Arabidopsis thaliana: one gene and its partners. The protein of the gene in region 4 interacts with the protein of the main gene of each other region in a pairwise test. Each region holds a gene or a part of one and is shown on either strand. Other genes may lie near its edges. The genes, in order: FBH2, NUC, IDD5 and AT3G49950.

Evidence for each region.
Region 1: the proteins of AT3G49950 (region 4) and FBH2 interact in a two-hybrid assay, tested with the Arabidopsis thaliana proteins (one large-scale study listed by BioGRID).
Region 2: the proteins of AT3G49950 (region 4) and NUC interact in a two-hybrid assay, tested with the Arabidopsis thaliana proteins (one large-scale study listed by BioGRID).
Region 3: the proteins of AT3G49950 (region 4) and IDD5 interact in a two-hybrid assay, tested with the Arabidopsis thaliana proteins (one large-scale study listed by BioGRID).

Annotation. Positions count from the first base shown.
Region 1 is NC_003075.7:5,844,808-5,851,896, reverse strand, and holds FBH2 (basic helix-loop-helix (bHLH) DNA-binding superfamily protein), read right to left. Parts: upstream 4,586-7,089; 5' UTR 4,385-4,585; coding exon 3,932-4,384; intron 3,440-3,931; coding exon 3,293-3,439; intron 3,089-3,292; coding exon 3,023-3,088; intron 2,653-3,022; coding exon 2,584-2,652; intron 2,451-2,583; coding exon 2,397-2,450; 3' UTR 2,134-2,396; downstream 1-2,133.
Region 2 is NC_003076.8:17,771,233-17,778,728, reverse strand, and holds NUC (C2H2-like zinc finger protein), read right to left. Parts: upstream 5,874-7,496; 5' UTR 5,639-5,873; coding exon 5,500-5,638; exon of another isoform or gene 5,094-5,499; coding exon of another isoform or gene 5,072-5,093; coding exon 4,675-5,071; intron 4,081-4,674; coding exon 3,216-4,080; 3' UTR 2,980-3,215; downstream 1-2,979. UniProt on the Arabidopsis thaliana protein: Transcription activator that binds to the DNA sequence 5'-CTTTTGTCC-3'. Regulates photoperiodic flowering by modulating sugar transport and metabolism. Regulates SUS1 and SUS4. Transcription factor that regulates tissue boundaries and asymmetric cell division.
Region 3 is NC_003071.7:502,114-512,479, reverse strand, and holds IDD5 (indeterminate(ID)-domain 5), read right to left. Parts: upstream 7,106-10,366; 5' UTR 6,958-7,105; coding exon 6,774-6,957; intron 6,513-6,773; coding exon 6,116-6,512; intron 4,554-6,115; coding exon 3,326-4,553; 3' UTR 3,250-3,325; exon of another isoform or gene 3,015-3,249; intron 2,783-3,014; 3' UTR 2,388-2,782; intron 1,984-2,387; 3' UTR 1,699-1,983; downstream 1-1,698. UniProt on the Arabidopsis thaliana protein: Transcription factor acting as a positive regulator of the starch synthase SS4. Controls chloroplast development and starch granule formation. Binds DNA via its zinc fingers.
Region 4 is NC_003074.8:18,518,951-18,525,335, reverse strand, and holds AT3G49950 (GRAS family transcription factor), read right to left. Parts: upstream 2,871-6,385; 5' UTR 2,767-2,870; coding exon 1,534-2,766; 3' UTR 1,402-1,533; downstream 1-1,401. Other genes in the region: AT3G49960 (Peroxidase superfamily protein), read left to right, coding at 30-230, 357-522, 617-1,023. UniProt on the Arabidopsis thaliana protein: Probable transcription factor involved in plant development.

The DNA of each region.
Region 1 (7,089 bases), on a different chromosome or scaffold from region 4:
AAAAATTAAACCCAGGATCCGCGTGTATTTCCGAACCAGTCGCCCAAGATCCATGGGTATTTTACGTTGGAAGTTATGATTTTACCCTTGAACGCTTATTTTCATTTACTCATAGATTATAATTTTGCCAATGGCATTCTATGTAATATTTTACACTTTATAGGGTTATTTAATATCCAGTGATTCCCAATTAATAGTTAGGATGTTGAAACTTTTGGATGGTGGCAAATAAAGCTAGAAATGCTACTCTTAATAAGCTGATATTTATATTCCTTTTTCCATCAGAATCTATCTCTTCCAACAAAAACTTAGTCCGTGAAGTGAATTTATTCGGACTGGATAGATTTAAGATGTTGAAAACATAGTTTATTATATGAACATAAGGATTATGAGCAAGAAGGTTGGCATAAAGACCACGCTTAATGTTCGGAACATTTACATAGTATATACACTGTACACATAGACCATAGTTTTCAGACTCGTCGATGTTATCTTATTCTCGATCACGATCGCCATAGTTTAGGTATGTGACATACATGTAAACAACATGTGAATAACAAATGCTGATTTGGTTTGATTCGAGCCTTTTTTACTTCAATTAATCTGGTGATGGTTGCTTGATGATTCAGTTGAAGATGCAACCTCTGAAGGAGTTTCTGTACTAAGTCAAAGTACCTCACAAAGTAGTTTAAGAAAACAGAGCATCGTGGAGCAAACAAATGGAAATTCGTAAAGTCAGTTTATGGCGGTTGGCTTGGAGTCTAGAAGCTTGGAGAAGATTCTAGAAGACTGAAGAGTTTCTTTTTCATAGGAGGAAGATTCTCAACCAAGCTATCGAGCGGTCATCTGAAATCCTGGCGGATGTGAAGTTCATTAAAGAGAAGCGTTATTCTACTACGTCTTTTTGGATGTTTTGTGAATCTTCTTCTGTTTGCATCTATGAATTTTGTTTTGAACTATAGCAAGCTAGTTATTTTTTCATCTCAATTTTATTGAAATTAGATGTTTCTGATAATTTTCAGGCTTCTTTTTTCTAATGAGAATTGAGAGTGCAAAATTGTAGGCAAAGTCCCAAAAATTGTTGAATGGGACGAAACAATCCGTGTGATGATAGGTGCTATGCTATAGTTTGATTAATGTTATAGCGGGACAATAAAAGAAAAAATAGAAAGACAATCATCTTCATAATTTACTGTAAGAATTTATTTTTTTGGTTGATTACAAGATTGATATCCCCATTTTAGAGTTGATTCATTGATTGACCAGGAGGCTAAATGGTGGAATATAAACCGAAAAAATTCAAGATCTAATTGAGTAGGAAAATATACTCTTAATTCTGACTAGCTCGTAGCTGAGACAAAGAGTCTAGAATAGTGACTCAGTTCCATCAGCACATGTGGTGTTCCCAACGAATTCCGTATTCACGAATTTAGACTTTCTATTATGGAGAGTTCGAAATCAAGATGGAACAAGGGAACATAGTGGTTTCTACCCTTGGTTAGCTTGGTATAACTCGAAAGCGAGGAACGATAACAATACTAAATATGTAGAAACCAGATCCTTGACAAAATATTTTGTGATTGCGAGATGAACTCAAAGCGTGGATGCGAGTCCAAGATTAGGTGTAGCAGAGTACATTGGTGAAGGCATGGGAGTCGTTCCAGAGCTTATCATCCCTTCTATGTTTTGAACTCCCTTGTTCTTTGTTTTCAAGTTGATGGTTCATGGAAAACCAAAACAAAAATGTGCAGCCAGTTTGGTTTTAATTTGATGGCTTCAACCAGATTCATCTAATTGGTTTGAAAGGATTTCAAATATATTTCATGTCTTTACACTAAGAACTCCTGACACTACACTACTTTTGGTAGCGCGGTATGCGGAATGATTTATTTCGAAACTGATTGCAGCGGATTTAGTAAGATGATTAACCCTTTTTCGCTATAAGATTTAATCTACACTGCAATAAACAAAGACCCGATTATCTTGCCGGTTCGACAAAACATCGAGCAATTCTGTCCTCGTTTGCAAACTCGTTGCGGATTGGTTGCACCACTAAGCAATCTTATTCCATGATGGTTAGTAATCTAGTATGTTAGCTGTAACTGTATGAATGAGTTTTAAAAACACTGTAATACACATCTTGAAAATACTTTACTATAATCAAACAACATGAAATCAAAGTCATTTCACTAATATCATAAAGAATATATGTTTTCATTAATTCTTTTTAACTTTCTTCATTATTGTACAAAAATTTTATATTACACCTACATCCATTTATCAAATAATATACTTTTCAACATGACATCCATCTAAATTCAAGCTAAGATCATCTTTCGAATTTTTCGATCAGATCATTGCCGTTAAGCAAATATAAAACAAATCAGGAGCAAACCTTATTGTTCTTCCTTAGGTATGCATGTGCACCTCTTCTGTTCTTCTGTTAACTCCTATATTATCCACACCAAAATAAACCAACTCATAACTCTTTTTACTATATACTGTTGACTAATCATTTTTAATTCATCTATTGGGTTCCTCTAAAAGGTTTTGTGTGTATATATATTAACTTAGATAATTTACCTGGATCTGCCTTTGAAGAACTTTCACGTATTCTACTGCTTCTTCTAACATGTCTGCAGTGTTGGTTTGCTGCAACAAAGACAAAAAAGTTAACCGATATACTCAAAGCCTAGATTCCAAATCTCCATATATACCAAAACCAAAAGTTTTCCTCAGTTTGTTCATAATCTATAGAGAGGAAACCAAGTTCATACTTATTTGATCGAGGTGACAACAATTCAAGTCCATATCAAGATCCATTCCACAGTTTGTGAATTACTTAGTTACAGAGCTGAGAACCGTGTCTCTGAAGTTGCATCACAACCATTAACAGTCATATTTAATTTGACCTCTAACTTCTACACTTGATTTAAGCATAGATAATCTTTGACCTATTTCTAGTCAATATAATTGTGTAACCGAGGTCATCAGATTATACCTAAGCTGAAAATTATATTACCTTGTCCATGTTAGGTACAAGCTCTTGTAGCTTCCTTATCCGATCACTAATCCGCGTCCTTCGTACCTACACAATGAAAGGTAAAGATAAATATACACTGACCAGAACAGAACAATCCTCTGTTCAATGAAGCATACAGTGCATCATTAAACATCCGTAAATTGAAAGTAAAGATATAAGTTGTATCACTAAACTTCAATGTATAAAGTTAAGAGAACCTTGATCACTACACTTCCAAAACATTGAAAATAAAGATTGAATGTTGTTTACCCTCTCGGCAATGCTGCGGGGATGAGTTGCGCAACCACGTTTAGCCCGAACCCTAAAAGCAACAGAGTCCTCCATAAGGTTCTCCATGTTCATATCCGACATGCTTGATACTCCGGTAGGAACTTGACCGCTGCTTTGCTCTCCTTTCTACTTACAGAAAAAAATTCCAAAAAGCGCAAATCAGCACTAATACCTTAATCAACACATAGGTAACACATATGTTCCCAAAATTTTGATCAAGTGTAGTTACTTAATACTAAGTAGACCAATGTACCAAAAGGTGTGGAGAATCAATACATTTGTACACATTAACCACCGAAGTATGTATCATCATGTGGACTTATGGTCTTCTAAACACTTTACCCATAGGAGCATTCTTTAATGTTCACATTGACACATTAAAGCCACAGAGCCAACAACAAAAACTGCCATTTTTTTTTTTTTGAGTTAAAATAGAAACTGCAACTTGCTTAGTTTGGTTCAGAAAAACACAAGTTGTCAATTTTAAGACAAGACTGGTCTTTTCAATCTCGAGAACTTGGTCAGCAAATTAACTAAAACAAGTAATAAGTCAGTTAAGTTCATCCTATTTTTGGCAAGTATAAGAAAACCCTAATTTAAGAACTAATTTTGGTTTACCATTTGAGAAGTAAACTCAGGAGAAGAGAAGAGTGCTTCCATTTCTCTAGACCGCTTACTTCCCGGAGAAACATCGATATTCCCCGATAAGTAATCGTAATTCGCCTGAATCCCAAAGCTTTGGATAAATCCATCAGAACCACTAAGAAAATCCGCCGGAGTACTATTCTGTCGGTGAAACCCACCTTGTTGATACAACCCTTGCTCAACAGGAATCGGGAACTCGAACGAGCCGCGACTTGTCGGTAAATCGTTCGAGTTCCCGGTAAGCAAATCGGTGAGACCAAGATTAGGTTTCAAAGACTCTTCTTCATCTTCCTCAAGTAAAGCTTCAAGCCAAGTCGCTGGAGCTGAACGGATCCGAGATAGTCCACTTCTACTTAGCCCTCCTCCTCCTCCTCTGCCTCCTCCGTCGTCACCACCGCCGCTACTACCGACGGATGTTGGTTGCATCCCCTTTGGCTTTTCTCTGGTTTCAATAGACACTACGAAAGCTTTTTTTCTCTTTCTTTACATTTTTTTTTTTGTTTCTTGCTCTGTTTTATTTTTTTCTTTAATTAATACATCAGCAGACCAGATTGTTGTTGTTCTTGGGTTATTTTTTTATTTATTTGTTTCAATAAAAAAATTGCGGCTAGTAATAATAAAGAACCCTAACCGTCTGATTAAGATACTTTTCTAACACTTGACTAAAAGATAAAGATAGTACAGAACCTAAAAAGGTTAGAGATGCGTCAGCGCGTAACAGAGAAACATTGCTTTAACGTCTCTTTTGTTATCTTTTTTTTTATGTAATAGATTATGGTTTACACCACTCTCGATGGAGGCGCGTAGTTTCCACCTTCTCGGTCCAATTCCGATATGTGAAAAATTAGCGACTTCGTATGTCTGCAAAATGCAACTTTTATTTAGTTGAGCTGCTTTGTAGAATTACAACATTTTAAAAGCTTTTGAAGAATTACAATATTTTAAAAAAGCTTTTGAAATTTTTTGTCTTTATTTTATATTAGAGTTATTCTCTGTTGTAACAATGTCTGTGTTGATTGCCTAACAAAAAATATAAGAACACGAAGTTTTTTTTCTTTTTCATGTAAGTACATCGACTCCGGATTAGTTCTCCTAACTTAATAAAATGGTCGCTGGTGAAAAAAAGTAAAGAATAAAAAACCATCCTATTAAAAAAAATATTACAATCTTAAAAAAAAATTACTTCATTTTTTAAATTTTTTTTGTTACTTTCGTTTTTAATTTATGGTTAAAATTTTATTTATTAATTTTAATTCTCATATATTATTTTTAAGATTTAAATGTTTATAAAATAAATAAAATAATTTGAAAGCACTTTTACAACTCGTGTGGTGTTCGGGTTGCCCGGCCATAAAAAATTCCCACAGAGTTTTTCAATCTCATCAAAACCGGTGATCGAAAAATTGAACACCAAAAACTGAAAATCTATACTATATAAAAGTTGAGGCTATTTGCTTCTAAAGCCGTCCACATAGGATTTAGAACGACCAATCGAAAGCTGCCACATCAATAATTAACATATTTAGCATTTAATTATTTAACATTTTTTAAAACAACTAATCGGAAGCTGTCACATCAATAATTAACATATTTAACATCTAATTAATTAACATTTTTAAAAATAATAATTACTTTCCATTTTAAAATTTAAAATAAAAAACGAAAATAACAAATATTAAATTTAAACTTATAAAAAAGGAAGCAATATAATTATAATTAAATAATATTAAACCTAAACCCTTACAGAATTTTGGGAGATTTGCAAAACTACTCTTTTTTTACTACCCTTTTGCAACAATATCTTTTTATGTTGTCCTTTTTTAAAAATACCATTTCCCTTGAACAGAATGACCAAATTATCCTCATCTAATAGGAACATGTAATTAGAAACTGAAATTTTCCCACCAAATTTTTGCACCAAAAATTTATTTTTCTCGCCAAAAAAATTTTCTGGCAAACTTTTTTCCCACCAAAAAGAAAAATCCCGCCAAAAAAATGATTATGCAAATCCTTGTAAAATTGTTTTGGGAAAAAATATATTTTCAAGAGATTTTAAAAGGGTTTTAAAATATTTACAAGGGATTTTAAAAGGGTTTTAAAAAATTTACAAGAGATTTTAAAAGTATTTTAAGAGATTTATAAGAGATTTTAAAAGATTTTAAAATATTTACAAGAGTTTTTAAAGGGTCTTCTTGTAAATTCTTTAAATATCTTTTAAAAACACTTGTACATCTTTAAAAATCTCTTGTAAATCTTTTGAAATCCTTTTAAAATACCTTGTAAATCTTTTAAAACACTTTTAAACCATTTAAAAATCTTTAAAAAACCTTTGTAAATCTTTTAAAGCCCTTTAAAATCCCTTGTAAATATTTTAAAACCCTTTTAAAATACCTTGTAAATCTTTTAAAACTCTTTTAAAATCCCTTGTAAATATTTTAAAACCTTTTTAAAACAATTTTTAACCCTTTAAAAATCTTTAAAAAAGCTTTGTAAATCTTTTAAAGCACTTTAAAATCCCTTGTAAATCTTTTAAAAAACTCTTTTAAAATCCTTGTAAATATTTTAAAACCCTTTTAAAATCCCTTGTAAATCTTTTAAAACTCTTTTAAAATTTCTTGTAAATCTTTTTAAACCCTTTTAAAATCCCTTGTAAATCTATTTCCCGCCAAAAAATATTTTTTTTGCGAGAAAACTAGTTTTGACAAAAAACTTTTTGGCGGTAATTTTTTTCGAATTTTTTTGGCGGGAAATTTATTTTGGATATTTTAGGCGAAAAATATTAATATTTTATTTTGTTAACCTAAAACAATTTTCAAATAGGGGTAAAATGGTCATAATGGCTAAAGAGGGTAAAAATGAAAATGGCTAAAAAAAGGGTAAAGTTAAAAAGGGGCATAATGAAAAGGGCATTAGAAAGAATTTTTCTAGAATTTTATACAACTAATCCAACATTTTTTAATATAACTTAAAGAAACGTAACAATGACGTGGTTTGATAGTGGTGTTTTTAATCGTATCAATTTGAATCAAATTCTCGAAGATATAAATTGAGGTCTTTCAGTCTGGAAAGCGTGAAGGTGAAAAGGATCTAAACTGCATCAAAAGAGAAAAGTGATAGAGTTAAGTACCAGT
Region 2 (7,496 bases), on a different chromosome or scaffold from region 4:
TCATTTCAATTATATTTTTGAACCGCCACTGTTTATATTGTCGATAAATTTTGAAGAAAACTTAAAAGTGTTTTGGAGAATTTTTAATTTCTATTTTTCTTATTTGACTGAATCTAATTTTCTTCATGAGAGAGCAAAAGGGAGATAAGATAAAAGGTGGAAAAAGCCTAAGCTAGGAATATCAAGCTTTTTTCTCTTTTCCTATTCTTTTCCTCCACTATAAAGTATAAAATTTTTGCCTTCGAGTTAGGGTTATGATTTTAATAATTGAGCTTCAAAAGTCTCCACCTTTCATTGTCCCCACAGCCACCACTTCTCCACTCTATCTATGCTTTTTGTTTTTGTATATTCTTGCATACAAGAAGAAAAGACCTTTCTTACTCTTTAATGGAGAATATGCATGGATCTTCACTTTATCTTCTGCACCGAATATGCTTATAAAACCAGATTATTTCTTTGAATTCCTTTATTCCTTGACCCAATATATACGTGAATCAGTCTCTTGATCGATGATACAACTTAGTTAACTTTATGTGTGTTTTGGGTTAAATGACGATGCTCAAACTTTACACCATTTCCCATTTATATGATTTCAATATAATAGACAATGCATCCCATGGAAAAAGAGTTGAACACTATAAATATAATTAATTATTACCCTGATTCAATAAAGTTGATTGTTTAGGAGAATAAGATAAATAGTGAAATTCGAAGATGAATATAATAGAGATGCTGAGTCAAATGTCATTTACATGATGCGAAAAATAACATGAGTGGGGCAAAGGGGAGATTTTGAATACGAAAACTTTTATTTATAGTAAATTTTCCGAAAAACGTTAAAGTAGGTTACATCATAATATAAAATTATAAACCATTGTGGTTATTGTCTTACAATAATTGTTATATTAGTATCCTCTTAAAAGAAAACTAGATTTTAACCCGCGGTATACCGCATGACGATTTATTTTTAAAAGTAATATATACTAAAACTTGCAAATTTTATTTTTACAAAATATTTATATTTTACAGTTTATAATTGTTATTAAGTAACGTTATACCACGAATTCATGAGACAATTGTTAAAAAAACTGAAGTTTTGACCCCTATTAAAACAGCATATTAATAATATTTTAAAATTTTATAAATATTGATTCAAATACATCCACCATATAACCCAATTCCAAAAAAAAAACATGTTCTGTAATTTTTTTACCCGTCCCATGATTTTTTTTTAAAGTAGTAATTTTTATAATTTTAGAATTATTTTTTATATATAAAAGTTTTGCAAATTGTATCATTCTCTAATACATTTATATTTTATAGTTTAATTTTATATATAGTAACATTATACATACCACATAACATTTTTGGTTCTATATATTTTTTTCTAAATTAGGATGATTTGATATGTTTAATATTAGTGGTCTCAAAAAATAATAAATTAAAAATTTAATCCATATTGAAACGGTGGATTAATTATATTTTACTTTTTTATTAATGTTGATTCAAAAACCCGTCCCTCCAAATCCGTCTTGCCAAAAAGTTATCTATTTTATTAATATTAGTTTTATTAATGATATGACTATAAATTATAATCTAAATATTTTAGCTAATAACATAGGAGTGCACCATATTTATTTAATAGGGGAATGTACCATATGACCCGAATGTATTTTTATCCAAATCCACCAAAAAAGTCTTGCAAAAATACTATAGAGATAAGAAACGATAGTCGGTTTTGATAGATATAAGATTAGCAAATATATTAGTTAGCTTAAATTAGTTAAAGAATACAAATTAAAAAGGTATATTACACTTTATTCAAATATAGTATCAAAACTTATATAACACAGAGATTTGATAATTTTTTAATTGTTGAATACTTTTTTTTTGTGCTAATTTTATGTGATTAAGATTTAGTTGATTTCATATATAAAATATCAAATTGAGTTATTTGTTTATAATTTGGTAACAGATAGATATTTGAATATTCAGTATATTTTGCTTCAGTTTAGGAAATCTTTGATGACCCGTCTTTAGATCCAATAAGTCCTATAATCTAGAGATTAATCTGCAGTATATCGCAGGTAGGCTTATATTTTAGTTAAACTAAAAACTTTTATTGTAAAGATGATTTAAAAATATATGATATTATTTTATTTGATTTTAAATGTATAGTAGACTGTGAGTTGTATATGTTTTGTTGATATTATCTATATTGTTTAGTGTTTAAGATTATACACTTGTAGTTTGATTATTAATTTAAGAGTTTCACATGTAGTATACCATCTTGTATTAATATCGATATAAACCCGTCAATTCTAGGATTTTCCAGCTTGTATTAAAAATTGAATCACATCTAATATGTTATTAACTATTGTAGTATATAAGATTATAAATTTTCAATATAATATGTATGAAATTGAATATAAATATTTCAAATTTATGTCTCGTTACTCAGTAGAAAGTTTTCTTAAATATATTTTTCACCCGTTATAATATTATTTCATGTATTGAACAGTTTATATTCGTTTTTAAAAATTTAAATTATGGCATATGCGAAAAAACTCTAATTATTTTTTTATAATGATGATATTATTTTTCCGTAAAAATAGAATCATATAAAGATGAGAAATGAACTATAATAATTAATAAAAAATTAATATGATAATTTAGATACCAAATATAGTTTGTTGATTTTAATTGGTTACTTTTTTGGAAATTAATAATGTATTTCGTTTTTCTAATTAAATTAAATTAATTAAAATTTAGATATCAAATCTTATATGTTGATTTTGATTGGCAATTATTTTTGAAAATTAATAATGTATTTCGTTTTTTAATTAATTTAATTAATTAAATTAGTATTTGACTTTTTAATCCTTATAGAGATAAATTAATTTACTCTTTAAAATTTTATTTCTAATGGCATACCTATGTAATTACTTACAAAAATTAAGGTTACATTTAAAATGTACTTCCCGTATGATAAAAATTCAAAAGATTATGAATGTCTTGTGAATGTCATTGACATATATCTTGAAGATAAACACATTCATTATACATATATCATAAGTTTTAGAATATTGAATTAATAAAAGAAAACAACTTCCATTACCATATACATATGTTATCTTAGAAAATGGTGGAAATGACAAAAGATTCCTTCTTCTTTTACGTAATTTATGCATTAACCCCGAAATTTTTAAACTCTTTCAAATCCATCCATTGATAGACGATGGATGGCACAACGTTTGTACACCAACCCCGAGGAAATCCCGAGTTTGCCCTCCTCCACCCACTTCACCTCCACCATCAACTCTTCTACGTTTCCAAGGGTAATTCTGTAATTCATCCAAGGCAGACGCAACCGTAACGTCATTTCTAGCGTTCTCGATCTCTTGATGATCATGACTACGACTCATTAACCCAATGTTGTTGTTAGACCCGAACAAAGCAAAAAACTTTTCGCCACTGTCATAACTGGTGGTTTGATCGGTGGATTTAAGCGGGAAACTTTGAAGAAACGTTGATGGGTCATTGGTCGCTGCGGTTGTTGTAGAAGTAGCGCCAATTTCAGCAGCTTTCTGTAGTAAAGCTGTCGCGGACATATTCACGTTTGAATTTGCGTTTGCGTTTTGTGGTTGGTCGCTGCTGAATAAAGAAGGGGCAGAGAGAGTAGTGGTAGTGGTCAAACTTGCGTTTGCGTTTTGCGTAATCTGCTCATCGTGAGTATTATTATTATCAATGCAAGCAGACGCTGCCTTAGCGTTTCCAAAAACCCAATCGTAGTCCGGTTGCGGTTGAGGCGGCGCGATATCTTGTCCCATCCATAGAGAGAGCGACGAAGAAGTTGGTGGCTGAAAATGTTGATGATGATGGTTTGGATTTGTTTGCGGTTGTGGTACAAATGGTTGAAGCGGTGGGATGAATGTTCCCATGAGATATTGATAGTTGAGATTAACTGATCCTGGGGCTCCAGCCGCGGCTAAACCGTTGAGATGAGACACTGCGTTTATCTTAGCGGTTTCTTCCGCTAAGGCATCGCAGAAAGCTCTATGAGTGATAAAGCTGTCTCGCCTGTTTCAACCAAAACCACCATTAGTTAACGTCTTAATCAACATTTATCTCAATGCATTTATATCAAAGTTTTAACTGATGAAAATACTTGAAAACATTTAGCTGCCTTTTCTTTATGTGCAGCAGTAAAAGTAGAGAAAAACCTAAGTACATATTTCCGTAACATAACTATTGATGTGTCAATCTTGTGTTGACACTTTTTCCGCATATTAAGTAATAAATAATGTTACCATTTTGAACCATACACACATGAAGTACTCCATTATTTGTATATATTATTATATCTAGCTTATGTTATATGTTCATCATGGTTATTATAAATTTATACCACTTTTTGCCTCAATCATGACACTAACAAAAACATTTTCCCAAGCAAGAAACTTTACCCTACTTCAAAAGAGATAAACAAACACATAGGAAATGACAAAACATACTTATAAAACTTAATCAAACTACATATTGACAAAAACGAAGATGTAGATACTATAAAGCTACTATAGAATAGCTTTCGAACATGATCAATACAAACGACAACACATATATACATGAAGCTTATTTTTAATTTAATTGACAGAGAAAGAAAAAAAAGTGTACCTTGAGAAAATGGTGCCACAATCGCAACGGTACTCTCTAGTACCACAAGTCTTGGAATGAGCTTTCCAATCAGATTGGACTGCGTATCTCTTAGCACATTTCTCGCACGTCCACTTCTTCTCCCCGTGTTTCCGGCAAAAATGCTTTTTGATTCCAGTGAGATCGCCTAGAGCTCTAGAGGAGTGATGGTGGACACATGTCTTCTCGGGGCAAACGTAGACACGTTTTCTCACTTCTTTGCTTGTCCTCTGCTTCAACTTCCATGGAAGATTATGTCCTCGCCGATGAAGCTGTAAGTTTTGGTCTCTTTGGAAACCTTTGCCACATACCTCACATAGGAACCGGTTCGTAGCCATCAAGGTCGTGGGGGATAAAGCTATCACTTCAGCTTCCGGATCTAAGTGGATCATCATTAACATTTGTGGTTTCTTTAATTAGGTCAATTCGGAAAACAACATCTATTTTTGGATCGGATCATGTACTTTAGTAAAAATAATGTGTGTGCTTTTCTTGGTGGAGGTAATAATAATAAAGGGTATGTAAATATATTTTCTCATGGAAACTATAATGCGATTTAAAAAAGAAGAACTCTATAGATCAAATAAAAGTTTTAATTTACTAAAAGGCCTAGTATTTTCACATTAATTAAGCATGAGCCAGTGATCTATAACTCATGCAGCCAAATACTACTTTTGATTTAGGTCAAGATCCAGAACAAAACAACCCAAGAAAATTAATTTATAGGGGGCAAAAAAATAGAAAAGATACTAGGGTTTTCTTTTTAGGTGATGATCAAGCTAGCTGAGATTTAATATAAATAATTACCAGGATTTCCAGGGAGATTTCTCTTTTTCTTAACAAGAGGAGGATTGATGAGAGATTCATCATGATCCAGGGTTGATGAGCTCTGTGGCTGAGCAAAACCTGATCCACTTGAGATTGTTTGAAGAACTTCACTTGTCATGTCTTCTTCTGGGTTCTTGACTTCTTGGAAGAGAAATTAAAAGTAGGTTTTTGTATAGTTCAGAGAGAGAGAGAGAGAGAAGGAGACAAAAGGTTAATATAAGAAAAAGATTAGAAATACTAAGAAATCTGCAAGTTAACTATGAACGAGAAGGAAAAAACAACAAAGACAAAGATATATTGGGTTCTCCACTTATATATGGCTTTTGTCTTAACCTATACCACTCTATATTAGCTCCTATATATAAGTGTGTGTGTGTGGGTATATTAGCACCTTGATATGTTAAACTGTTGCAGCCATTTTGATTAAAATATGTGGTTAATTGTATTTTTCTTTTCCTTTATGAGATTATTTTAAAAGAGCAAAGTGGATGGCGGTGGAAAATCATAAGCTGAAAGTGATAGCAGCAGAGCCAATAAAATTTCAAAATGCAGAGATAGAAAAAATTTAACATCCCTTGATTACTTTATAGGCACCCTATGTTTGCAGTTTCACTATGAATTATTTCAATATAATAAACAATTTTCTTTTAGTTTGATTCATTTTATTTCATGTTCATACATCCTTAGTTTTGTATAGACATGGTATTTGCTAAGAGTAATTTTAATTACATTTTTTCACAAATGATAATCATGTATTTATGCATCATACAGCATCAAATGCTTCATTTATATTAAATCTTAGAAAAATCGATTAATAGCCTTGCAAATTCGAAGCGAGCTGTTAAAAAATGTAATTAAATTACCAAGATATTCGAAGTAATTTTGTTGTAGTAGTGCGTTATGACACATAGAAAGTTGATATTTCTATCTTTTCTATTGAGAATGATTATCTCGTTATTTTTGTGTTGCCCTTTCCTCTCCATTTTTTTTTCTGGTTTTTTGGGTCCAATAATTACTTACTTTTTGTTCCTACATGCTCATGTTAACTCAGTGCAAAAAAACAATCTTACTATATTTTTTTTGTTTTTTATTTTATTTTTTACACTTCTTTCTATATGTTTTTTTGGGGATAAAATGTGAAGTTATTTACCAAAAGGAACAGTTTATTAGAAGATCTTTTCGTAGCATCAAAGGTTCATTTGCCAAAAATAAAATAAAAATAAACAAAAATCTAGATACAACAATATTAGGCACTAGAAAGGGCTTTACGCATATGTAAACAAACTACTGGGAGATCAAAATTGTGTACGCCTTGTGATTTTTTCAAGCTTGTAGAGTATATAATACGAAATGCATCGATCAATCTGCCTAAAGAATGATGAGGCTGTAGTGGAGTGTAGTTAATCTTTTTGGATTCAAGGAGTACTTTGATACAGATAGCATAAAGAAATTGTTATATGTATATATATATATATATATGTTTTTATATATCCGTAAATTTTATCTTAAATGAATTATGTTTACAAAGTATTGTAATGTATATCTAGTTACAATAAGATACATTTGCTTTGCCAACAAATAAAAACATTAATCTGATTTATCAATTGCACAATCTCTATAATGCTTATTAATTTGAAGGTATGCAGTATAAGTAACAAAACAATGTATTAAAAAAATTGATTGACATTAGTGATCAATAAGAAAATTATAACTTTATCTATCACCTTTTTCTTTGCAATAGTTGTATTCAGTTTAAATACACAGTTAACGGGATCACTATTCACTCCCATCAGATATCATATACGGACATAGTCATTTTTGTTAGTTATTCATGAATCAGAATTTTTCACAATATGTGAAAGAGGTAAAACAGATCCAACGGTTATGGTCACATCTCTTGTTTGTCGAAGTCGAACAAAGCCTGCCATGCACGTGTACCCATGCACGTGCTCTTTAGGTATACTCCAACAACATAC
Region 3 (10,366 bases), on a different chromosome or scaffold from region 4:
ATAAACCCGTATAAATTTCAAATTCTATATAAAAAAATATATGTGGAAAATTTTAATGAGAATTTAGAATATTTTATTATAAACTTTCAATTAACCAAAATTTCTAGTAGCATTATAAACAACTGATCTCACTTGATAAATACTCTTTTGGTTCATACTAGTCTTTAATTACCAAAAGGAAAAAAGAAACAATTCCAAATCCATATGATAGATCTTGAAGCTCTTTGTGTGTGTTTTTCTCTAGTGGGGTATGCTCCGTATGGAGTTCCAACCATTAGAAAATAATACAGGGGTTATGTTTCTCAGGGAGATTCTTCAATAGTAAAAGAAAGAAACAATAATCAAGTTTGTGAATCGGAGAGATTATATATATATATAAAGTTGTTATGTGGATTTATATTAATTGAAATGGATAAGAAAAATAAAAGGGTAAAGCATGTGAATGACAGAGTTGTCGTTCATGTGAAAGATAGAAAAAAAAATGGCCCGTGAAGAGATTGTCGAGAAAAGTTTATGAATACTACAAAAATTCTTGAGATTTCTTCTGCTTGTTCTTGGTCCACTTCATTATGGGAAATCTTTAATTGGGCCATACAATAACTATTAATTAGTAGATGCATTGATAATATGCTTATATATTCCATTTGAATCAATCACAAATTTGGATCCATTGGCATATAACTTTAACATCTATCAAAAGGAAGTGTATAGTAAGAAGACTAATGAAATCTGTTTTTTTTTTTAGTATATTCAGTTGGTGAAGGTATAAAATCGATAAATCAGAAGGTGATTTAAGAAATTAAGTGAAAATAATGAATATATATATTTTTTTTAAGAATTTGAAGTTATAAATTTGATTATTACTCGTTCGAAACAACACTTTTCAGTATAAAAATTATTTTGATTGGTTTACAATACCGAGACATATGTCTTAAACGGTCATTTAATAATGAGATTTAACACAATATTCCCTATGTTTTTTTAAATTAGTTTTTTAGAAAAATACACCTATTAAAAAAAAAATTAAAAATATAAAAATTATATTAAAAATAATGTATTAATTTTTGTGATTTATATTTTTCTATAATTTTAAACCAATGATATTCAATTATTTATCTTGAAGTTTAAAATTCATTAATAACTAGGTTTTAACCCGCAATTTACCGCGGGCAATCGGTTTATTTGGTTCTTATACTAAATATTTGAATAAATTTGATATCCTAAACTTATAAATATAAATTTTTAGTGATTAGTGAAGAATCGTAATATATGATTTGTATATTATTTTTGTTGAACGGTTTAGATTAAAAGGGAATTAATTTTATTGAACGGTTTAGATTCAATCGGATCATATAAAGTTTAGGAGATTGTTAAGACCAAATTATCCTTAATGATTTTAAATAGCAAAGAACAAAATCTAAAATTAAAATCAAAATTGAGGCCAAATTAGACAAAATTTCAATTTGTACTTCCCTTTTAATAATAAAGGGATAACTAATAAATAGTGTATAGAGAACCTAAAAAAATAATTTTTTAAAACAATTTTTTTTCTAAAAAATCAATTAATTTCAAAAATATACATGCTCTTTGTAAAGAGTTTTGCACAAGCTTACTACAAACAAAACATTCAGATTCATGAATAAAACATCCAATTGGTAAATTGACGAAAAAAATTAAAATAACCAATTGGTAAATGTGCATTAGTTTACAAAAGATAGAATTGAACGATAAAATATAACAAATTTACGCTTTTAATTTTAAAGCAGGGTGTCGTTGATGGTAAAAATCTACTTTCTCTACATGGATTATTTAACCAAGAAAAAAATAGGTTATAAGCAAAACAATTTTAGAACAGAAAAAGAAACAGGGGAAATTAAGAAGATGAGAGAAGAGCTGTCTGTTTTTGGTGAGACAACGATATAATCTCTCCCTCTCGTTTCATGTCGATGGGCCTCCTTACTTCCATCACTTGCATGTATGTCCCTACATTATATATACGAAATTTAACTATTATTGTTATTCCCCTTATAAATTATTACGACAAAGACATTATATTACCATTATTAATATCGTTATTTCAACAATTGTAGATGTTGTCACTCACAATAGTGTAATGATATGTTCACATACGCACACCAATAGAATAAATCTCTAACAAAAAAAATATCTAAAACTAGCTAAAAATCCAAGAAAATATCAACCATCATACACCGAAATATCAAAATACTTGAATGAAGTTCTATTAAATCATTTGAATAGTTATATTTGTAAGAGACAATACAATATCCAATCTAAAAAAAATAGTAACAACAAAATTTAAAAACTAAAACTGTAATTCTTATGTATTCTAATATATACACGATTCCATACAAAAATCGAAATTGTACCTTAGATGCAGTTTCAATTGATGCTACAACTTTTAACCGCAAATTAGCATCAATAATGAAGACGCGTGAATGTTGAGACAGAATTGTTTATTTTGGACCGTCAAATTTAAAATATGATGGGGACAATCCTTTGAGGATATGGTAGGAACATGTTACATACAGAACTATACAAATGCATAAATATATGCACATGTGACACCTATGTGACATGTATATGTATACATGTATCGAGATATTTAGAAAGGAGATCACAGGACAAACACTCGTGACATTGCCAGCTAGTGAAGATGACAAATGAAAAGAAATTAAAGAATAAAAAGGCAAATAAAAGAAAATGAAAACAAAAAGACAAATAAAAACTTAGCAAAGGCTGCTTGTACTCTCCAACTCATTGACTGCCCCATGCAATGATAAGACGATAAATGTGTCAGCCAAAAACAAATATAAAAAAACATTTTTTTCCTATCAAAAACAATTATTCACACCCAAATTTTTTATAGTTAAACCCGTTAGTATAATGTTGTTTTTAGCCTTTGACCCTATAAGAAATAATACATACAAGAACAAAGACTAAGCATTGACTCTAAAACTATAAGCCAGAAATATATTGAATTTCTTAAAGTATCTAATATGTCACAAGGCAAGAAGAAAAAAATCTACGGATAATAATATGAAAATTTCTTCATTGTGAAACCATAAACTATAACTCTGAAATTTGTTTTTTTCAGGAGGGAATCCATTTTATATAAACAATGAAAGGCAAAATCTTTTACAAAAGAAAAAAAAAAAAGAACTGAGTTTAGATAAATTGCAACTAAAATTTTAATTACTTCAAATGGGGTTTTGATGACGACATGCATACCTGAAAGATATAGCATGTACTTTGATGAACTAAAAACCTTTTTTAAAATTTCTCCTTAGAAACTTCTTTTATCTTCTTAGAAACTCGCATGATGGATTCCATAAGGTGGTGAAGTACTTGCCGGACCACCTCCGGTATTCACATTCATGCTGCTTCTATCAGCGGAATCCGACGACGAGCCAACTCTTTCTCTACTATTTCCATGTTGTTGTTGTTGTTGTTGCTGCTGTTGCTGTTGTTGCTGTTGTTGAAACCCTCCGCTTCCACTCATGCTTTTTACGATCTGTCCAACTCCAAGAAAGTCTCTAGTCATGCTCTGTTTGTCAGCGCTTAATCCTTTGTTCACTCCTCCGTACGAACCAAAAGGAGAATCAACTCCGTTAACGTTTCCCGTTGCGCCGGGGTTAGAGAAAGAATTCATCAAATCCTGAAGATTACTCTCATTTTCTCCGTAGATTCCACTCCCAAAGCTTCTTAGGATCGATGAGGCATTGTTATTGTTGTTGGTGTTGCTTCCGTTGTTGTTGTTGCTTGAGGTTGAACCCATTTGAGCAGCTTTCTGTAGAAGGGCAGTGGCTGACATGTGAGGTGCTGAATTTGGACTTTGCATTGATGAGCTAAAGAGTGAAGGGACTGATCCTGAGCTAATTCTATCTGCCGAGCTCATCAGATTGTTAGGGAAGAGACCAGTGCTTCCTTCTCCTCCTCCTCCAACAGCATTTTCGCCATCATAATGGTTTGATATCATAAGATTACCAGAAGAAACAGCAGCAGCGGCGGCAGCATTAGGGTTACTTGTGGCAGAAGTAACTCCGTTGTTTCCGGAGAGGAAGCTGAGATTGAAGACATTGGAGGGAGCAGAATTATGGTTATCATGTGAGAACTGCATCAGATTCTGTTGAAAACTCATTGGTGATTGCTTGATGTTATTGTTCCCAGCCAAAAACCCTTGTTGATGATGATGATGATGATCTTGTTGATCATGAAAGCTAGGGTTTTGCTCTTGCATGAAGTAGCCTGAAGCATTCGCAGCAATGAGATCAGAAGAAGAGCGTGAAGCGGCTCCTCCTCCTCCTCCTCCGCTTCCAAGACGGAGAACGTCACCGGGCTGGTGATCAAGATTCTGTGGGGCCCCCATGTGGGACAGACCAAGGATCATGCTTGAAGCGTTGTTGTTGGAGTTGTTTGTGTTTTGTCCGTACGGGAAGTGATGACTTGGCAAAGAAGTCAATGAAGTTGGGTGTCTCGCACTCTCTTGAGCCAACGCGTCACAGAAAGCTCTATGTGTGATGAAACTGTCTCGCCTGTGACACAAAATAAAATAAATAAAAATCAATTTCACAATGGAATCTATTGGATCGTCAGATATATCTCTATACTATTCATATAAAATGATGAAATAAAAGACATATTTTGGGAAAAGTGAAAGAAAAAAAATATAAATGTAAGTAGAGAGAGAGACTCATCATGTCACGTAGCTACAAATAGATTCGCGTGTAATTATGGGATCTTGAAAAGTAGATAGATGGCTAGAAAGTCACTCTACTACTCTATTATACATCATATTATTATTCACCTGTGTAAACTCTTAACAAGCTTACACACTCACATGTTTGATGCATACAATAAAATTGCACGCATACACATAAATAGGAGTACAATGTTGTGTCACATTTCAACTATGATGATGTATTTGTCTATATGACTATGTGTACGAACAAATCTAACTCTTATCAATATCAGTTTATGCAATAATAATAAACATAAACATTATTAATCAACTCCGGAAAACTATTATGCTTAATTCACTATAATTTATGTATGAAACTATGAATATAGCTATCTATATAATAAATTAATGTGGTATTCAACGAATTCCAAAGGTAGGTGGAAAAAGTTAAGTTTCACACTAATGTATAGAGAATGATTGTCAAATGAATATCTGAGTTTGTCCTAATTCAAGATCTTGTATGTTCAATAAATGCAAGTTGAGCATGTATTCAATGAACTACTTATATTTTTATTTAAGAAAACTAGCTACTTATATATATTTGCAGCACCACATATTTATTTACTTCATTCTATTTATAGAACTCCTCTAAATGCACGCACACACACAAACACAGCAATGCCAGCCAAGACTGAGAAAAAAACTCTATATTCGAAATAATTATTTAGTCTATTAGTTATCACGTCTATGCAAATTTATGCCATTTTATGCAAAATGTGTAGAGTAGTGAACCAAACTAATATGTGGCTATGGTACAGAGTACAAACGAATCATATGAAATAATTGTATTTTCGTAAAATTTTACACATAAGAGAACAAACACTGTAACAACAACCTCCCTAGATATTATATAGTTTAGCAGCACGTGAATTGCCCATATAGTATAAGTATAATTTCATATCCAAGAAAAAAAAATCCTGAGAAAAATATATTAATTTATTTTTATGACAGAAAATAGGGCGGTGTTTCCAAGGCAAAAGAATATTTAAAAAAAAAACTGAAATTGAAATTGGTCCTCTTTGGTTTTGAGTTTCTGCTAGAAAGCATCTATTGAAATATGGCAGTTTCAGTGTCATCTATAGATATAGTTATATAGACACACACACACATTCACGTGTGTTCTTGTATCATTTTTTTTTATAAAAAAAAAAAGAAAAAAAAAACTAAAGTTGCATTTACTGCACGAAAGAAAGCGATAAGAGCATCGAAGACTTCGAGGCGAAACAGAAAGTGAACCTAAAAAAAACCCTAATTCATGAAGAATGACTCACAGACACATATTCACACACATATCACTATAGCAGCTCAATAGATTAAATTATAATTTAAAGAGTTTGAAAGATTTGGATTACTAACCGAGAGAAGAGTGTACCACAGTCACAACGATACTCTTTGGTACCACAAGTCTTGGAGTGAGCTTTCCAATCCGATTGAACAGCGTAACGCTTAGAGCATTTATCGCATTTCCACTTCTTTTCACCGTGTTTACGGTAATAATGTTTCTTGATTCCGGTGAGGTCTCCGAGAGCACGTGACGGGTCATGGTGGACGCACGAGGGCTCCGGACAAAGATACACTTTTCTCTTCACTTCTTTGGTCGATTTCTGTTTGAGCTTCCATGGAAGATTGTGTCCTCTTCGGTGAAGTTGTAGATTCTGTTCTCTTTGAAACCCTTTGTTGCATACTTCACATATGAATCTGTTTGTAGCCATTAGTGTCTTTGGAGATAAAGCTATCACTTCCGCATCGGAATCTAATCAAGAGGAAAATTATTAACTAAATTTTAAAAGTCTTATATTGCATGGAAGATAAATTGATTGAAATCTGAATTTTGAAAAACCAACTACAAGCTAGGGTTTGCTAATTTGCTTATTTCAAGATTTTAAAAAATGTAAAAGGGAGAAGAAAAAAAAGGACATGGAAAAGGGATTTATCTTTTTCACCAATCAATAAGTTCTTTTAAGAAATGATCACATGATTATAAAAGATTTGAATTAAGAGGTAATTAACTTACTTGGAGTTCTTGGTTGGTTTCTCTTCTTTTTCTGCGGTGGAGCTTCAAGCGGTGGCAGCGGTGCCTGGTGGTGAGGAGGTGGAGGAGGAGGAGCAGCGGCGGAGGAATTAGGTGGGAGGAGGTGAGATTGGTCATCTTGTCGGACTCCAAAGAAGGAAGCAGCGGAGGATGAAGAAGCAGCCATGGATTCTTCTGTGTTCTATGTGATGGTGAGAGAGAGAAAGAAGAAAAAGAAAAAAAAAAAGAGAAATGAAATGAAATTAGAGAGAAGAAACTCTTTAACATTAAATTCTTTTTTGACTTCCACTGATATCTTATCTCAATAAAGCCCTAAAATTGGGATATTCCAGATTTTTAATTAATTGGTTATACTTTTTTTAATAGATATAAAATTATTAAAAAAACATAGAAATTCTTGTGAGGTAATAGAAGAGAGAAGTTGAAAGTGACAGGTGAAAAAGAGTGTAGGCTAGTAAAAAGAAAGAAGAAATATAAGTCACCACCCAATGTTATAGCCTAGAGTGTTAAAAGTTCATATTCGGTTAAAAAAATAGGGTAAGATAATCAAACTGAATTTAAATCTAGCTTGGTTAGTTTGGTATAGCTCTAATTTCATATGTATGATACATATGATACTAAAAACTCTATACATTTATTTGTAAAATTTTATATAATTTTTCTTTTGTTTGTAACGCATTTAAATAAGAATATTTATATAATTTTGGTGTCGCCTGTAGACACTAACACATATACAGAGCTATTAATTATTTTTGATATCATTTTTTCTAAATATGTAATTAATTTTAGAAAAAAAAGAAACTATGAGAGCTACAGAGGTCGGTGGACCCAATCCATTTGCCACAAAACGACAGTGGATGGTGCGTGAGACAACCCTCAACAGCTCCTCTCTCTCGCTAACATATGTGAATAATAAATTTCAAGTTTTTTTTTTTTTGGATCTAAAAGGGTTTAGAAAACAATTACCATAGTGTAATATGACTTTAGAAATTGTAGAAGAAGATATTTGACACTAACATAAAATATCTATACGAGATTGCTCTTACAAGAAAAGTTTAGCATCACGATCTAAGCTATATAAAAACATAATTTTTTTGGTTTTATATATCTTAAAGAAATGAAATGGTTTTTTCCTTAAAAAGAAATGAAAATGTTGGAATTTGTGTGTATGTAACATTTAACTAATTTTAAATGTTTGACCATATAATATCTCATAAGAAAAATACGTAACCGAAGAAGGAATAAAAATATAATATTTTGAGTTTGAAATAAATTAGCGGTTGTAAAACTAAGCGACTATGTTTTCATATAATTTTACAATTTTAATAACACATAAATATAAATTTAAAACTATAAACTATAAACTAAATAAATCTCATAAAATTGTATTCTAAAGCTAATGTTTTCATATATATAGGGACAGATTTCTTGAATTTTCAAAAGTTAATCCACAAAGCATCTTATGTTTTTCTTAAATTGTCAAAATAATTATTTGTCTCAATCGTCATCATCATCTCATATGGGTCTCTCTTTTTTGGTTTTAAAAAGTTCCTATCATATCATACATACACACATATATATATGTCTGTCTGTGTGTCATGGAAGATTGAATGTGAAAAGAAATATTCCAAAGATAAAAGAAGACAAAAAGAAGAATGATTGTATATATTTTTCATGTATATGGTAAAGTAAAAACCAAAAAGGATACTCCAATTTTTTAACTATATTTCGTCGTCTCTTCCCATATTCAAGCAATTAGTTAGGAACTATTTAAATAAATCTATGAATAATTTCCCAAATGATAGATCCCGTCATCTTTTTTTTTATCCATTTAAAATATCAAAAACAACTATATAGTATATATCTATGTATATACTTTAGTGACTATTGAAAATCAGTCATGTTCTCCAATGAAGGAGATCAAGAAAATCAACCCATTTTTGTATGGGTCTTCGTTAACGTGAGCATGAGTTATATATAAAACTTGTTTAGCATAAGACAATAGAAAACAAATACGATGTGATTGTTTTTATATGATGGATAATTAGTTTTGTTATGCTAAATTTTTTGAGGAAAGGAATATAATTTGCCATTCCCGATAACAATGACACTTGAACCATATCCTTTCCTCTCACATACATATTCGAATAGAAAATTTCTTTCAAATCAACAGTAAGTAATATATAAATATAGATATATAAACAGAGCCATATTTAAAATAAAAGATAGGAAAAAGAACTTCACCTCTTTTAGCTTGTCGTTTGAGGTCAATTTTTGAAGTAAATTTCTATGAGCTTCTTGCTTCTAAGTATGAAGTAGAGGGCCATATATATATATATATATATATATATAAATATATATACATACATAGTAAACATATACATAGATGGGTTAAGAATAAATTTAGGTGTTATTTAGGCAGTTTTGCAAAATCATTAACTACTTTAATTAATTACTTTCAAAGAAAGTAAATTATTGACTAATTGTATAACTGGACAAAAGGTGTTAGACTTAATTACCATTTATAAATTAAATTACTTTAAAATAATAATAAAATAATTAGTTATTTTAGTATTTACCAGTTTAACCTCCAAGTGTGAGAACAAAAGAAAATGAAAAAAAATCACAGAATAAGTCCCTTAATTTGGTCCAATCAATTCGTTTACTTTTTAAATCTAACTCTTAATTTTGGCTTGTTAACAAATCAACCATTTCATATATACACCATGTAAATATCAGTTCCAATGACAATTTTCCTAATAGATTTTAGCAAATTTTGAAAAGATATATAGCCAATGTAGTAAGATATCAAATGCAATCATATATAGGTCAATCAAATGATTAGATAATATATCCATAAGATATCAAAATTTTTATTAACCACTTTAAACCAATAATTTTTACTATAATTTTCCAATTGTTTTTGATGCTAATTGTATATATATATTTTTAAACAAATAAGAGTACTAGACTACATAAATTTTAATAAGCATAGGGGTTTCTTATTTATTTTTAAAAGTGGTGGTTGTAAAATGACTCAAATTAAAAAACTAAGGAATTTTAAAAATAAAATAATAAAAAATCAATATTTGTCAATTATAAGTTACTTTTAAAAAATTTCTCCATAATGACTGTTGAATTTTTTTATTGACTAATAAATATTAGTCTACGTGTATGTCATGGCGAGGTTATAAATCTTTTATAGCTATCTGAAATACAGTTATGAATTTGTTTGTGTGTAAGTCATTGAGATTTTATAAATCTCTTATATTTATTTTAAGTATAACTAACATTTGTTTGAATACTAAAATATTTTAAAAATAGTATATTTATTAGTTTAACTAAAGCAAATAATTGCAGAATTTTTGAAGTGATTGATATCATTAAAAATAAAATATATATCATGAAATATTAAAAGATGGTGCATATATTTTTGAATTTAGTAAAGAGTAATAAACATATAAAAATTTTCGATTTTTTGAATTTTTGAAACGTATTTGAATTTTTGAAGTGATTGATTTTAACAACAATATCATGAAAAGATGCTTAAAAATTGACAATTTATTATATCATTA
Region 4 (6,385 bases):
TGGTACCTTTGGCGTAATTGGCATTGTAGGGTTGTGATGCATCTGTCATGATCCAATCAACGCCTAAGAACAAGGCAGAGAAGGATCATCCAGATAACATTTCGCTAGCTGGAGATGGATTTGATGTGGTGATCCAAGCTAAGAAAGCCCTTGACTCTAACCCTAGTTGCCGGAACAAGGTCTCATGTGCCGATATTCTTACTTTGGCCACCCGAGATGTTGTTGTTGCGGTGAGTATTTGTACTAGCCTTACTATAACCAGATAATTAATCCTAAACAAAATTTCACATTAATATTAGTATATCACATTGCTTGTTTAGAAATGTTTTATATAACAAGGTTTTACGCATGTATAGGCTGGAGGACCGTCCTATGAAGTTGAACTTGGTAGGTTCGATGGTTTGGTATCAACCGCGTCAAGTGTCGAAGGGAACTTACCAGGACCTTCGGACAATGTAGACAAACTTAATGCTCTTTTCACGAAAAACAAACTTACCCAAGAAGATATGATTGCTCTTTCAGGTAAACCAAATTTAAATCAAAACATCTTATATAGTTATATGTATTTATATCACCAAGATGCATCGATGTCTAAACCGATAAATTCATAATGTAGCGGCTCACACCCTTGGATTCGCACATTGTGGCAAGGTCTTTAAAAGAATCCACAAATTCAACGGCATCAACTCCGTGGACCCAACTTTAAACAAGGCTTACGCTATTGAGCTTCAAAAGGCTTGTCCTAAGAATGTGGACCCAAGAATTGCAATCAACATGGACCCAGTCACGCCCAAGACGTTTGACAACACTTACTTCAAGAATCTTCAACAAGGCAAAGGTCTCTTCACCTCCGATCAAGTTCTCTTCACGGATGGTCGCTCTAGGCCCACCGTTAATGCTTGGGCCTCAAACTCTACGGCCTTTAACCGCGCTTTTGTGATAGCCATGACCAAACTTGGCCGTGTTGGAGTTAAGAATAGCAGCAATGGAAACATCCGTCGTGATTGTGGTGCGTTTAACTAGAGCTGGTAATGGGAAAATATAAGTTGTCTTATCTCCTATTTTCCTTTCGTTTTATTAATGTTTGAATGTTCATTTTGACGATGAGAAGATATTATTGGTTTTTCATTTGTTTTGTTTATGTCTTCATTTTAAGAAGGCAATTGTATCTGATCCTCTCTACTTTGTATCTCCAACATGTTTATTCTCGCTACAAATTTAAATAACTATATACTATTCAATTTTTCCTATTATAATAAGTTTTCACTGTTATCACTAAGCCTATTCACGGAAAAATATCTATGTAAACTAAAAGTGCTTATGAAGATGTAAAATATGTTTAGTCATAATAACGATTATTTTTCAACGTTAGAATGTTTTGAACTAGTACAAAACAATTGACACTAGATTAGAACAAAAAAAAAAGTTAATAAAAAATATTATTAAATTGTAATTAGATCAGAAATTAAAGCAATGCTATTCTACTATATTAGGTATCCAATTAAAACGCTAATTAAATTAAATCAACCTGATTTAAATGGGAACCCAAACGGTAGCAAACACAACACTATGACCTTTCCACGTCAGCACGAGACTCTCGTCGTCGTCTTCCTTCTTCATTCCCCACCCGACAGCGTGCTCCTCCAGCATCGCCTTCACATCCGCCACCGCATCTTCTTTAACCCTAACTCCACCGAACTCAGCCTCTCTCATTCTCTCTATCCACCGTCTCTTCGTCTCCGTCCTCTCCACTCTCTCCGCACCTTCCTTCGCCACCACGTTTTCTATCTTCCAACTTATCTCCGCCTCGTACCACCGTCTCTGCTCACTCATAAACGTGTCCGTCGTATCGAACGGAATCCAGAAGTAGTTAAACGCCGATTTTAACCGGTTAACCAAGTTCTCCGATGTGAGATCTACGTCTTCTTCGATTAGGGTTACGATTCTTGGATTCAAAGATCGGAGTTGTTTCAAGAAAACTGTTCGGAGCGATGATGATGATGAAGTTAGGGGTTCTTCAGGGATGTAACGGAGCATCATGTGACAGTTAACGACGAGAGCTTCGTTGAATGAAGAAGGATAAATCCGTAACTGTTGTAAGAGGGAGGAGAAGCCATCGGAGTAAGTAGAAGGTACGATTGTGAACTCCATTGTAATGTTTCGTGTGGTGGCGAAGTTGACTAGTTTAGATCCGAGTTCTTCGTAGGAGATGTTGATGAATGGTGGGAAGTGGTCGGAGGAAGAGACGACGGTGAGTTTAAGAAGCGGAGGAGGTTTGTTGAGTCGGCTTGCCATGGCGTCTATAAGAGTAGGGATTTGCATACAATGAGTCAAACTTAAGTCAACGATGTGAACCGTTGAGTAACCTTCAACGGCGGTTAAGATCGCGGCGTTGGCTGCAATGAATCCGAACCGGTGCCACGGAGTGAGGTCTACGAAAGCGGCTAACTCCACGACTGAGAAACGATGGAGTTCATCGGCCTGAGGTAGGAAGCTAATGGTGGATGATAGTGTAGGGGTTTTGGAGACGGCGCGTGAGAGCAACGCGCGGAGGAATGCGGATGTAAGACGTTGGGTGGAGTCACCGTCTGGTGGAGCGATGTTGTTGAGGACCCAGAGGATTTGGTGAGTTAATGCAGCGTCGTTGGAGTCTATGGCGGTGGCGCAGTGAAGGAGGAGCTGTTCCATGAAGTTAGCGTCGCCGCAGCCACGTAAGGGTTTGGGAGAAGGGAATCGGGTCGGGTTGAGAATCCGGGTTTTGGTCATTTGAGTCTGGTTTTAGAGAGAAATGTACGTTTAATCTTGTTATTTTTGTGACACAAGAGGAAACAAAAAGAACAAAAAAAGAGTATAGTAGGGTGGAGACAATGACATGTCCATGATTTTTACGTAAAAGTATTCTGAAAAGTGAAAAATAGAGTGAAAGGAGACAAAGGAGAGGGATGAGGAAAGAAAGAGACGAGACAATAGAGAGAGTCGTGTAAGTATGTCGTAACCTTATCATTGGGAAACGCATCGCTTTGGTCGCTTGTGTTGTGTAAGACAAATATTTGCAAGATCAGCTTTTTTCAATGTATAGAAGATGTGCATATTGCATATGTGTTTATGTATCTCTATACATGTGCAATATGTCTTAAATAGCTAAAATAAGGAATCTTTAGTTAGGTCGGAGGGTGCATTTTATCTCCTATTTAGAGAAAGCATTACATTTTTTTAGTATGATTCACTCGAGTTATTGTAACATAAATATGAACTAGAAGCTGATATTTTTGTTATAGAAAGTATGTATGTGAAGGGGGTGCTTAAAGGTGGGTGACATGTGAAGTGGCAGGTTTGTATTTATGTATATATGTACGGCCGATCAATTTGTCTTCTAGGTGACGATTATTCTCTTTCGCCGCTCTATCGCATTCATCAATAAATCACTGCATACACTTTGGAACAAAAAATAATTTAAATTTATACCTCCATGAATTTGGTCCGTTTGTATGTAGCATTTGGACGTTATTTATTTTATTAAACTCAAAATATGTTTTGAGTCTTCAGATATAATTAAGAAGAAGATTTATTGGCCTTATCTCTTGAGATATATATAAGTCATATAACAATAGACTGATAAAGAAAAGTTATATAGCATTAGACTAAACAAAATGAAAACATGGACTAAACAATCAAACGGCTCCTATGTAGGGATAGGATAAGTATAGTGACAAATCTCATTATCATTATCAGTTTTTTTTCTATGCCTTTGGAAGTAGGTTCATTGCGTATTGGGTATTTTAGGCGCAATATGAAAGCGCTCACAAGGCATGATATTTTCAAGAAAATTGGTTGAGAGATCAAGTACCATCACCTCCAGGAGACATAGACGTTGGGCAGCCTAATGATGTTGTCGCTGTGATGAATTTAAACGAGCTCCATCATAGTTATTGTTGATAGAGATCTAAAATTCCTTCTGGTTCATCGGGATTTTGCCTCGCAAACCTCTGGGCGCACTATAAGGGTTCACAGAGTTGGCTCATAATCAGAATTTTTTCTGTTGATTTTTGCGCATGAAACAACGTGAATAACTCCTCAACGATATTAGCAGCCATCACAAACATCAGAGTATATGCCATTAGCCTCTCCTCTCATAACCATATATGAAATAAACAAATAAGCATACTAATCTCTAAACCAAATTGAACAGAGACATAAAAAACAGAAGACTCATGAATCTTGACCACGTTCCGAGAAATGTCCGTAGATCGATTATGAAAACAAGAGTAGAAATCCCTAGCTAGTTATATTAGGTAGACTTGATAACGCATAACACTTTATTTATTCTGCTTCACCTTTTCGCTAACACTATACACTTTATAGTCCAAGTTACCTTCACGTCTTCTCCTTCACGAACACGTATATGTTTCTCTGTTTCATAAAACTTAAAAACCTACTTGAAACCTAAGGTCTTTCCGTAAAGTCTATTGGGCTTCATCAAAATAATACAAAGTGAAAATTTCCGGCCCCATGGTTTCAAGCCCATTTCAATTACTTGGGGGGGGGGGGGGGGGGAGGGGGGTATTGGAGCAATGAATTTGACGGAATTTATTAGAATGTTGATTCTAGTGTTATTCAATTAGGCATTTTATAAATTCTTTTAAATTCTAGTATTATTCAGTTTCTCAATTTCTTAATTCTACTAAATTCAAGTGTTATTCAATATTTTGTAATTTTTCATGACAACGTCATTTGTCAAGAATTTAATAAAAATATTAGTGCAAAATGCACAAAACAAATTCTTACCTTTTAAGTTGTGATTTGGATGAAAATATATAAGGGGCCTCAAATTGTCGTATAAGGGCATGTTCGATCTAGTGGAAAGGCTAATAAGCTGCTAATTTCCCCTTTTGCACGATTAATAAGCCTATTGTTGGTATTGTTGATGTTCCTAATTCTTGTCTTCAAGTACTCTCCAAACTTTCAAGCCTAAAATGTTACTGGTTCTCAGAAAACGGTTCTTTGCACCATAGAGTACTCTCGTCATTGTGCATAATCATCATCGACGCCCTTAGCTGCGGAGATAGCTCTCGTTATCAACGTGAATTCCGAGAAGAATACAATGAAGATGTTTCGAAATCTACAATGATCACAGAGGATTTAGCGAGGAAAGTGGAGAAGCTATGGGATCTGTTAAACTTAGTAGTATTGAGAGTGGTTTTGAGACGAAGAAGAAGGAGGAAATATTGCAGATTTTGAAACGTGTGATTAGAGATTTACAAGTGGAGACTGTGGAGAAGAAATAGGTCCGGTTGTTAGCAAAACTGAATTATTAGTACTTTTTTTAATTCTATTACAGTTCTATTCAATTCTAATAAAATAGTGAAAATGTAATCGTTAGAATTGAAAACAAGATTTGAAATCTTTTGCAATGAGTGAAAATCTGTAATTATGTATCCAATTCAATTCAATTAAACTCTTTGATCCAATACCCCCCCCCCCTATTTATTCATTTATTAGAAATTTGTAGTAATTACTGATTTTTAAGCAAAGTAACTAGGTAAGAAACTAGAAACCACTTGTTCTTCGACTGCCATTACTCTAAAATAGTTTGGTCGAGCCTCACCTCTAAACTCCTAGCTGCAAAATTCTCTACCGATAGGAACGTGATTCTAAGGCTGCTCACGGACAACACGCTTGATAAGGTTCGCTTATTTCTACTAAGATATTCTTTTCAGATTGTAATCTACTCAATTTGGAGAGAAAGAAATTGTAGAAGACATGGCGATAAGCACACTCCCCCGACTCAACTAATGAGAAAGCTAGACAAGGATGTTAGGAATAGGATATCTTCCCTAAAAGATCAAGGAGATGGAAGATATGAGAAGCACATGACAGTTTGGTTTGCAACAAGATAAAGAGGCCGAGTTCTCTTTTATTTTTTCAGTGTCTGTAACTTTAAAGCGATTAAATTTCCGGTGCACTTGATGTAAACATGTTTTTTCGAATAAATTTTACATTTTATTCAAAAAAAATAAGCTAGGTAAGAATATGTGCTATGTACTGATAAATCTTATGCTATATAATTTTATGATAGAATAATTTATAACTAAAACTCAAAGTTTTAATCCAAAAATGTTAAAACCAAATTTTGTAAGCTAAATATTTTAAATTAAAAAGCTATATAAATATCATACAATATATAAAAATTCATCTATAAAAAAAAGTTACAAATTGAATTTTAAATATTTTAATGAATTATATTATACAAAGAGAATTGCATTTACGTCATTCAAAAATTTAGACTTAAAGATTTGTGATTTTAATTTAAAATTTTATAATATATTAAGGAATCTTGAAATCATTTTTTAAAGATATTTTATATATTTTTTAATATATAGAAAAT